3 linked regions of the Bombyx mori genome follow. Each later gene encodes a partner of the first gene's protein in a complex. Links are inferred from orthologs where the notes say so. Each region holds a gene or a part of one and is shown on either strand. Other genes may lie near its edges. The genes, in order: E3 ubiquitin-protein ligase RNF113A, armadillo repeat-containing protein 7 and pleiotropic regulator 1.

What was found.
Region 2: E3 ubiquitin-protein ligase RNF113A (region 1) and armadillo repeat-containing protein 7 share a complex: the UniProt entries of both Homo sapiens proteins name them as parts of the minor spliceosome. The link is inferred for Bombyx mori from reciprocal best matches to the Homo sapiens genes RNF113A and ARMC7.
Region 3: E3 ubiquitin-protein ligase RNF113A (region 1) and pleiotropic regulator 1 share a complex: the UniProt entries of both Homo sapiens proteins name them as parts of the minor spliceosome. The link is inferred for Bombyx mori from reciprocal best matches to the Homo sapiens genes RNF113A and PLRG1.

What each region holds. Positions count from the first base shown.
Region 1 is NC_085108.1:7,586,345-7,590,104, reverse strand, and holds the start of E3 ubiquitin-protein ligase RNF113A, read right to left. Parts: upstream 2,887-3,760; 5' UTR 2,637-2,886; coding exon 2,543-2,636; intron 1,273-2,542; coding exon 1,121-1,272; intron 570-1,120; coding exon 417-569; intron 1-416. UniProt on the Homo sapiens protein: Required for pre-mRNA splicing as component of the spliceosome. As a component of the minor spliceosome, involved in the splicing of U12-type introns in pre-mRNAs. E3 ubiquitin-protein ligase that catalyzes the transfer of ubiquitin onto target proteins.
Region 2 is NC_085121.1:11,321,831-11,325,590, reverse strand, and holds the start of armadillo repeat-containing protein 7, read right to left. Parts: upstream 2,620-3,760; 5' UTR 2,467-2,619; coding exon 2,358-2,466; intron 1,815-2,357; coding exon 1,644-1,814; intron 217-1,643; coding exon 1-216. UniProt on the Homo sapiens protein: As a component of the minor spliceosome, involved in the splicing of U12-type introns in pre-mRNAs.
Region 3 is NC_085129.1:1,617,428-1,621,097, reverse strand, and holds the start of pleiotropic regulator 1, read left to right. Parts: upstream 1-770; 5' UTR 771-999; coding exon 1,000-1,115; intron 1,116-1,402; coding exon 1,403-1,530; intron 1,531-2,004; coding exon 2,005-2,241; intron 2,242-2,660; coding exon 2,661-2,747; intron 2,748-3,269; coding exon 3,270-3,355; intron 3,356-3,670. UniProt on the Homo sapiens protein: Involved in pre-mRNA splicing as component of the spliceosome. Component of the PRP19-CDC5L complex that forms an integral part of the spliceosome and is required for activating pre-mRNA splicing.

The sequences.
Region 1 (3,760 bases):
TGCAGAAGTTGGTATGGAAGTTAGTACGGTATGGTTGATAAGTATTAACCATATAAAAAATTATAAGCTAACTGTCACTAAAGTAACCACGAAGTGTGCGATTTCAATACTGTTAAATGGATACCTGTAGTTCTCACATTTGCGCGTGGAGCCTTTTTTATGGAGAGGAATTAACATTGATTCCGTCCAGTCTTCAGGCCACTGGCCAGTACGCCATATTTTCTGGCAAATGGAGTGTAAAATCTTGGTACCATCCGAGCCTAGGCTCTTTAACATTAGAGCGGTTACGCTGTCCCTCCCGCATTCTCCCTCAGGCAACATTGGAGGAAGCTGGTGCAAAAACTGGACCAAGGTGGTCACGATCCTCAGTAATGAGGAAACGACAAAGAAGAAGAAGAAGAAGAAGAAATGGATACCTTATCATCTGCTTGTCCGTGCAACTCTTCATTGATCTTCTGAGCCTTCTCAAAGATGGCTTGGGCATCTCTATCCTTTTCTGTGTCTAATTCATAGGTAGCTGTTGCATTCTCTCTCTGTTGTTGAACCGATAGTGTTGTCCTTTGAGAAGTCTGAAAGAATTGTAAGCTTATGTTGATCTAAATGGATCTTAAAACGGTTTTTTTTTATGTTCAATACAGAAGACAAGACTTCAACATAAAGATGACGTGTAAAAAGATTAAAGAGATAAAAAGATGTGTGCCAGATTTAAGTAAAGATAAACTGCTCTAATTGTTGATAATATTGATTTCAGTGGAGATATAACTGAGACACTAACAAATATCTCAAGATGCATGGCGGCATTTACTTTGTAGATGTCTATGGGCTCCTGTAACCACTTAAGAACTTAAGGAATAAAAAAAGACAACCCGAAAGGCTGAAATGGCAGCAAGCAGGCTGTTGGAACCAAAAGTTCTCAAGTGGCTATTATATATCTAAATATGTATGAAGTATGTGAAGATTTGAAGTGTGGGTAGGCCTTCTACAAGATGGACCAACAGCCTGTTTATGATATCTTATATCTGGTGCTTCAAAGGTGCAGATCTCATTATAGATCAGATTATCAAATCTGATGATATCCAAGTGAGTTGATGATGATGATGAGCTGTTAATGTTACTATACCTTTTCTTCATCATTACTATCATCATTATCTTCAATTACATCAATTTTGGATTTCTTCGGACCTCCTGTAGACTGTATGTTTGGATTTGGTTTGTTCACCCTTTTCGTTGGTAGAACTACTTGTTGCTCATCAGAGTCCGAGCTGTTTTTCTCTGAAACGTTACTATATTAAATTATATATTAAGCAGCCGTCTGGTGTAGTGGTAAGTGACATGGTCACTACACAAGGGGGTCGCAGGTTCGAATCCCGCCAAGGGAAGATATTTGTATGATAAATATAAATGTCTTTCCAGGGTTATGGGTGTATATTAAATATATATATATATATATATATATATGTGTATAATAAAAATATTATATTTATTTCCGTTATCTGGTACTTGTAACACAAGTTCTTTACGAACTTAGCACGGGACCAGTTAACGTGGAGTGATTGTTAGTAAATATTTATATTTATAAAAAAAAAAAATATCAAGTATATATGAGGCTGTCAGCGCAAAAGTGGCCTAACCCACAATTTTTCATGCTTATAATCATGTATATTGCAATTTATTTAATATATAATAAATTTTTATGCAAAACCGGCCTATCCATAGTTTCACCCATAGAAAGCAGATGGCTTTGTAATCATTATTTTAGCGCATATTGTTTTTTTTGCCAACTCAAATTCAAATTCATGAAAACTAAAGCCTCATTGCTCCATAATAACTATAGTACGCTTAGGCTGCTTTTGCGCTGACGGCCTCATATGATAAAATATATATCGACACTTGAAAGGCAAACGTGACTAAGCGACAATGCGTGAACTTTACGGTAGACTAATTTAAAGTTGAAATACATGAAAACAAAATTTATTTTAACGAATCCAGTTGTAGTAGAAACTAGCTAGTAGCTGTAGGATTGAAATAATTTTAATAGACCTAGAAATATATATTTTTTGCGGATCGAATATGGTTATTGCCTATCATTTATGTGCAAAGCAGTTATTGTCGCTTAGTCACTTTTGCCTTTCAAGCGTCGATATATTTTTTTTATAATGGTAATCTGCCGATAGTTTCTGCCAGCAATTTCTGCCAGTGTCGTGTTATGGCTACATATGGAACATTGTCGAGCTATTTAAACACACTTTATATTATAAAAAGTATCCAATTTTGGCTATATTAATGGTGCCTGGGACTAACACAAAATTAATGTTACTACAAACTTACATATTATAATAAAGATTATGTACAGAGAATAATGCGCTACATATAATTATAATTTTATAGTTAGTAGTTATACACTTAATAAAAGCACTTATAATACGGGGGTCTGGGAACAGTGAGAAAGAGGATATGAAGAAGCGATGAGATAGTTTTAATGTACTATTCTTAGATGTCTTTCGTTTGGAGAATAATTTAATAACTTAACGATCAATATTACCTTCTGAACTGGAAGTTTTACGTTTTCTGCCACCCCTATTCTTAATATTACGTTTTTTAAAAGTACTGAGTACTTCCACTTCGGCGTCTGACATTTTGAACGATTGTTTATTCAACCTAGTGTGTGCTTACTACGATATTAGAGTAATATCTACATAATCATTAATGAGGACACAATAATACTAAATAAAAGTACTGTATTTCACTTTAGGACCTTCAAGTATTGTCGGTATTTATAGGGTTTTTAATTAATTTTTGCATTTCACAACATGATAATATTGGCAATGATCAAAATAATGCTCATTTTTAACATTGACATGTGATTGATTTTGACGGATAGTTGTTTTTTTAAACTATGATTTGTCTATTGAATGGAGGGAATACTGCCCATACAACATAGCTTAAACATTTATAGCAATGCCTGAAGTTAAATCAAAACTTAAATTAGCATATGGAATAATAAGGTTAAATAAGAGAAAGCCGTACATGTTGTATAAGATGAAATAAAATAGCCTGTCAGTAAATTAGCGGAGACTTATTGAGGCTTCTAGGCAATTTGGAAGGGACCCGAGCAGCCACACAGCCACATTGAGGAATTCTTTTTTTTTTCACACTTAAGCCCTTTCTACTACTACTGTTAAAAGTTGAAACCAGAGTTAAAACTCAAACATTGTAATGGACATAATAAACACTATTCTTATCACGATGTTCATGTCTCTTTTATAGTAATAATAAATAGATAAATTAATAAAGTCATTAGCTGCCTTGAAATAAAGTGGAAGTGGAATCATAATTTACCATACAAACTGGAAATATTGAATGCTAAAAGGTTTAGGGTGTAATTTTTTTTTTATTGCTTAGATGGATGGACGAGCTCACAGCGCACCTGATGTTCAGTGGTTACTGGAGCCCATAGACATCTACAACGTAAATGCGCCACCCATCTTGAGATATAAGTTCTAAGGTCTCAGTATAGTTACAACGGCTACCCCACGCTTCGAACCGAAACGCATTACTGCTTCACGGCGGAAATAGGCAGGGTGGTGGTATCTGCCCTTGCGGACTCACGAGAGGTTCTACCACCAGTGATTACGCAAATTATAATTTTGTGGGTTTGATTTTTAATACACGATGTTATTCCTTCCCCGTGGAAGACAATCGTGAACATTTGTTGAGTACGTATTTCATTAGAAAAATTGGTACCCGCCTGCGGGATTCG
Region 2 (3,760 bases), on another chromosome or scaffold:
TAGCTAAATTGACGATCCTCAAATCCTGCGTAGTTTTCAAATTTGACATCATATTTATAACGTCTTGATCAGTTATTTCAGTTTTTGTTTTCTCATTGTACATATATATCAATGTCGTTATTGTATCAGCTACAGTGTCTGTATCACTTGACTTCAATAATCGAAACAAAGGTTTTAATCCCAAGTGAGTTAAAATATAGTCTGCATTCAGTGGATCTGAAAAGTGATAATTCTTACATAAACATGTGAAATGTGAAATAGCAATATGATTTTATATAGTGTCAAATTTTTAAAGATGATTCTAGCGTTTTTCTAAATTTGGGATTTTACATTGCTTAGATGGGTGGACGAGCTCACAGCCCACCTGAAGTTAAGTGGTTGCCGGAGCTCATAGACATCTACAACGTAAATGCCACCACCCACCTTGTAATGAGTTCTAAGGTCTCAGTATAGTTACAATGGCTGCCTCACCCTTCAAACCGAAACGCATTACTGCTTCACGGCTGAAATAGGCAAGGTGGTAGTACCTACCCGTGCGGACTCACAATAGGTACCAGTAATTACGCAAATTATAATTTTGTGGGTTTCATTTTTATTAAGCGATGTTATTTCTTCACTGTGGAAGTCAATCGTCAACATTTGTTAAGTACGTATTTCATTAGAAAATTTGGTACCCGCCAGATACCCGCCAGATACCCGCCGGATTCGAACACCAATGCATCGCAAGATACGCATGCACCAAACGGAGTATCCTTTAGACCACAACGACTTCAAAATGTTTGATTCAAAATGACTGATAAATCTTTAGTATTACTAATTTCTTTTTTAGCAATAATTTATTTCGGGTCTATTGCTATTCTATTGCTAGTCTATTCCTGCGGGATCTTCCCGGGGATTGGATCCCGTCCTATTGTCAGGACGGGTACCGGCGACGGCGAGCCTGCGGCGCGCATTGTGCGGTACCGTAGGTTTCGTGGAGTCGGAGTAGTGGAGCTCGATGGGGTTTAGTCGGTAGTCGGGTCTATTGCTATTTTATTAATGCATTTGCTATTTTATTCTTTCTTAATGAAAATATTATTGAGAATCAGAATCAAATTTTTTTTACTTTTTAATTACTACTTTCCTTACTCTTCTAATTATTATCTTGAATACTGTCAGTAGTGTGGTGGCAGCATGTGTTGGTACTACTGTCAGATATAACATTAATAAACCATTTCAGTCTAATGGGCTTAAGACTTTCCAATATAATAAAGAGAGTTCCAATTTAATGGTATGTAGGGACAGTTACACAATATTGAGGGGAAAATGGCTATTTGGTATAAGCAGCATTGCACTTAAAACATTTACAAGAAAACGGTGCAAGCTCACTACATATTATTGGGCACTTTCAATTTTAATTTACTTTAAAATGCACTAAATCACATCTTATCAACACTCACAAATATTCAAATAGTTCAAGTATTTAATTAAATTTAAATAGAGCTACTTTGATAATCTTAAATAAATTATTGTACATAATAATATAAAGAATACTTTTATTGAACAGGTTCTTTCTTATAAGAGTTTTCATAAAAAAATTGACAGTTTAATTGAACTTATAATAATTTGAGAAAACTATTCATCTATTGTTATCAACAGCTTACCTAAACACAAATTGCAGACACCCGCAATGGCATACCTTATTAATCTACCAATAGTTTCATTCTTCAGCACATACAAGAATATATCTAGTACTCCAACGTCTCTAATGTATGAGTAGTTCACAGGATCATATGCAAAATTTGCCAAATTGGCTAAAACTTGCAACTTTGCTTCTGTAAGGAAAAATAACATTAACAAATTGCAGTGCCATGGAGAGAGCCGTGGAGAGACAGAGATAGAGAGAGATAGATTACTTTACTACACACCAAAACACAATCATCATTGTGTCACACAATCATCTCTTCTAAACAACCTTTTTTATCTAGAGAAATTGTGAAAAAGATCCAACAGGTATGTTATTAATTATTCAGAAACAGAGCAAACCTTCATGCACATTACTTAATAATGAAGAAAAAAAACTAATGTATGATACAATAAATATAAATATAAAATATAAATATTAAAATCACTATAATCATATCCCATAAGTCACATACACAATTTAATTTTATTAAAACGAAAAATACCATTATCCAAACGCAATAGGGCTAGCTGTACTGTGAGTACTCTTTAGCATTAAGGTCGCCCTTGTTTATGCAATAGTTTTCTAACTATCTAAGATTTTTAAAAGTAAAAACTTTAATGGCAATTGTGAAAGTTCATACGTAAATCGCATTAAAATTAATTAAATAGATATTGCATGTATATTTTATTACCATAGGAACTTGAGTGTAAATATTCGTCGACTAATAATGACAAATATGCCTCGCGATCAGTACCATCTTTTGGGGTACGTTTTTGTAAGTGTGCTCTTGAACTGAACATTAAATTATAGTAACTTAAAAGGCTATAGAAAAAATCCTACTTTGACTGGACCACTTTCATTAAAGTAAATACACATTCCTTATTTTTCCTTTGATTCAATAATTCAATTGACACGCCATGACAGTTTTCTCTGTTGTTTTTGACATTTGACAGGTGGCACAATGACATGCGGAAGGGAACATTTTATCTACCATGACATGGGGTAAATTGGGATCCTGGGGTAAATTGGGACAAACCTGCGGAAGATTCTCAAAGTACCTGTAGCACGGAATCTACCTAATTTTGTTTATGTTAATATTTGTCAATGTATAGAAGAAAAACCAAGTTAACTATAGAAGTACTAAATATGAGTTAAGTTGGTCCCAAAAATTCGTCAAATTAAATTGAAAATAGTGGTTGAAAAGTGCGTTTTAAAACAGCTTAAAGAACTTTTAAAAAAAGTAATATTATCGTTGTTTTTTCAATAAGATCACAGTTTATATAAGTTTTTAATACACCTGGAAATACCACAACAAACGGTAAGTTGCAATATTCTTATTTTAAATACAATATTTCGACAAAATAAAAAATGTATATTTTTTCTTTCCTTTTTGGGGAAAATTGGGACGTTTGTAGGGTAATTTGGAACGAGACTGGAAAAATTAGGGACGAGAAAACACAAAATTGGAACGCCAAAAGACAAAATAGGGATGGCTTGTTAGGGTTGTCACTGATATCTTATAATAGATTTTTTAGCCTATACTATCACTTAATTGCGTGATGTAAAGAAGGTTAATATGTTTATCAGTTAGTTTATGTAAGTATTATAGGTAAAAGAAAAGTATATATATAATTACTTTTTTTTCGCGACATTTACCTTGTAACATCTGCCCGGTCGTATGTTCTTTATAGCAATAAAAAAAAAAAAAAGTTAAAAGAACTCAAACGAATCAAAACTTTTGTTATTTCATAATCTATTCACGCGTCGAATCATGATTTTGTTAACATTCACAACGCACACACAAATAAAAACAGGCCTCAGATTTTAAATGTAACATTAATTAAAAATCCGAGATATCCAATTATGAGTGAGTGAATTAATTGAGTTTAGTTATTTCGCTTAGAAAGAATTTCTTTTATTTTTGTTATTATTGGCAGTAATCAGATAAAGCCGGTTTTTTATCTTATTCACCTGATATCTTACTCTTGCTCAAAGATTATTTTGAAAATGTTGATTAAATAAAATTGTATTATTGCATTTCCAGTCCTTTTGTTTTCTATTTTTTATTCTATTTTATGATTTTGTTTCAGAGTT
Region 3 (3,670 bases), on another chromosome or scaffold:
CACTTATTAAGTATTCCAAGTCTGTGTGTTGAACAGTACAATGTGCTTAGTACCATTTGTATGGAGTTGGAACAGCGCCTTTAGCGGCAAACGCAGAGTAACTGCCCCAGCTCCATACAATTTTGAGTAACTTTTACACGATCGAGAAGTTAAAACAACTCGCACCAGGCACACTGTACAATGTAAATAATACTTTGGAGGATGTTTATTGTATGTAATTTAACATAACAAATAGCTATCATTAAATCAATAAATATTCGAAAACTAGTGAGCAGCTGTATCTAGTCTAGTTTCTAGTCTGTAAGCACAATTTCTAGTCATGTTCGTACCTACTTGTGAATTTAGAGGTAAATATAGATATAGTCCACTGTGTATTTTATTGAAAATCAATTCCACAATTTTCTTCGCAATGAATTTTTATGCTCGAATTTTGTACTTATGAATAAAATCGACGTTGTGTAAACAGTGTTTTTTTCATTTCTAGGAGCAAACTCTAATTAAATTATTGATAAAATTCTGAGCCAAATCCGTACTTTCTATCCGTCACAACAAGCATAAACAACAAACAATAAATTTTTTCTTCAAATACCCTTTAGTATTTCAGCTCAATAAGAGGAATTTAAAATGTTTGTTTTAAAACAATTAAAATGGTAATTTCAAAAAATCATAATAATTATGTTTGTTGCAGGCTAATCGAGATTTGCATTCATTTGCCCAAATTTTTTATTATCTGTACAGTGACACTTGACAGTGACGCTGCTCATACCGTCCATTTGACGTTTGTTTGACGTAGGATTTATTTTGTAGGAAAGTTGTTGCTGTTTGTTGTCGGGTATTTCTTGGTCTCGACACCGTTAAAACCAAAAAGCTTTTCGTAAGAATCATAAGGAATATGCATTAATTAAAAATAAAATTGAATTTAAATGCTGATTTAATATTACAAGTTAATAGTATTTCGTATTCTTTAAGTAATTTTAGACATTAATTAATAACTTCATAATGTCTGAGGACGTGATTAAACATTCTGTACACACTTTAGTGTTTCGATCGTTGAAAAGATCGCACGATATGTTCCTAGCTAATCAAGGAATGTTGCCGCCAATCGACGATAAAGCGTAAGTAAAACAGAATAATATTATTTGAGGTTAGTTTAATACAAGTCCTAATGGAAATAATCGATGAGCTATTTCAAAGATCGGTACAATAGACAAACTAAGCGATTTGTTGTTCCGTATCAAAAAATTTCTGCTAAACCTTTAAAACTTTCTACTGTACTGGAGAAAACCTTTATGGGAGCAGACAATGTTGTCAAGGTAAATAAATTAGAGGAAAATGTCACGTTATGTATAACTACATAAAACACTAGAGTAGATAATTATTATTTATAATTTTACATTAACAGAGAGAAAGTACTGAAATTGGTTAAAGCAAGAGATAGTTACGGACAAGTCATGGGTGCAGTGCGGAAGGCTCAGGCCCTGAAACAACAAGAGTCTGTCACCTGTAGACCTGAAACTCCACTGACCACAGGTAAAAACAATTAACAAACTCCTATATACGGTTAAGCGCTTAGGCTCAGGATAAATAAAACTTCCACTGAAGTACATATTAAAACTCTATTTAAAACTAAGAACACTTACCAAACACTTTACAATTCGTAATTCACTTCTTCCGCTTCGCTTCAGGTGATCCGTTTGCTGTTTCGCTTTGAGTAGATCCTTTTAATAACTGCTTTCATGTCATCTCTGCAACGCTTTTATAGTCAATACGATATCTCTACAAAAATCGAGAACATTCCAGAAATATGGATCAAATACAGAAACAAAAAAAAAATTATTCATTTTTATGGAATTTTTTTTACAACAAAGTTGCATTTTCGTTATGATAAAAAAACAGCAAGAATTTAGCTGTGGACCTCATGAGTTCTATGCTCATTACATTCAATAAAAAATCGGTCCAATACTCCTTGATATTGCAATGAAATAAATCGAATGTTTTCTTTAGCAGAAACAGTGGAAACTGCACCTTTGCCGTCGGAAGGGGCTGTTGTCCCATACTCTGGACCAACACCTTCACCGTCACCAGCTCCCCCCTCGGGGGCTTTAACTGTACCACGGAAACCGCCGTCTATGCCCAAACCAAAATGGCACCCACCCTGGAAATTAATGCGTGTTATATCAGGTCATCTGGGTTGGGTTCGATGTGTTGCTGTAGAACCTGGAAATGAGTGGTTTGCTACCGGTAAGTAAAATTATAGAAACCACATACAGAGCAAACTAATGGCATCTAATATGCCAACATTTAACTAATATATTTAATCCTTTTAGTATAAATTAGAAGAAGGATATGTGGTAAGAATTATAATTACAAATTTGTCAATCTTAAAAATTTTATTAATATAAAGTTTGATTTTTACATATTAAATATACTTATTTATAAGACTTTTTTATCAATACAACACAAAACATAAACTTTGACAGTTAGATAATCAATATATTGTATTTGTGTAGACAAGCTGTTGTCCTATGAACGGTTGAAAAAATAAACTTGATTTATGATTAAAGTTACTTCATTTTTCTGTTATAATGAACTTTTAGCACAACCATTACAATAAAACCAATCCTAAGGAATTAATCTGCATGATGGTTTTGATATTTCAGGTGCCGCTGACAGAGTGATAAAAGTATGGGATTTAGCAAGTGGGAAACTAAAAGTATCTCTCACTGGACATGTGAGTACAGTAAGAGGTAGGTGCGCACACTTTTTGTATTCATGCAAAAATCAATGCTTGGTTTTCAGATTTTGAATAATGAACGCATTTTTCTTTTATTGCCCAGACAAGCACACTGCCCACCTGATGGTGAGTGGTTACCGTCGCCCAGGAACTTCAGTAATGCCATGGGCTTAGCCAAGCCGCTGCCTACTAAATTAGTAATTTTTTTAGCATCATCAGCCTGCGGCAGTCTGCTGCTGGACATAAGCCTCCCCAAAGCTCGCCACTAAACCCAATCTTCGGTTCCTTAATTAATTTAGTAATTTTTTATTTTAGTAATAGTAGACATTTTTAATTTTTTCAAACTTTTGCTGCTATGTATATTACAGAATTACATAACAAGTTCTGATCATAATTTTCACATTAACACAGTTCTGGATATTTCATCATGTTGTACGCACAGAGACCGTAGGTTGAGTCTATGTTAATTGTGAAAATCATGATCTAAGAATCCATCAAGTACCAGTATGTGTAATATGAATATATTCTATTTCAGGAGTGGTAGTGTCACCAAGACATCCATATTTATTCAGCTGCGGTGAGGACAGACAGGTGAAGTGCTGGGACTTAGAATATAACAAAGTGAGTTATTGACCTATAAATAACAAAAAAATATAGGTTAAATGATATGTCTTTAAATATATGTAAAGAAAACTTTTATTATTTAAAACTATTTAGATTTTAAAAAGGATTTTTCTTCAGTGTTATTCAGTGTCATGGAGTGAAGTGAAAAAGAGAGTTCAGTTTTGTATAGTTTATTATTAATAATATGTACTGTTTACTCTTTAATTGAGGTTAAGGGCTTTATATGTTGCTTTCTTACTATATCACAGAAACCACAACTAATTCATTATTGTTTATTCATTCTGAAATACTCCATATAATTATATGTATATA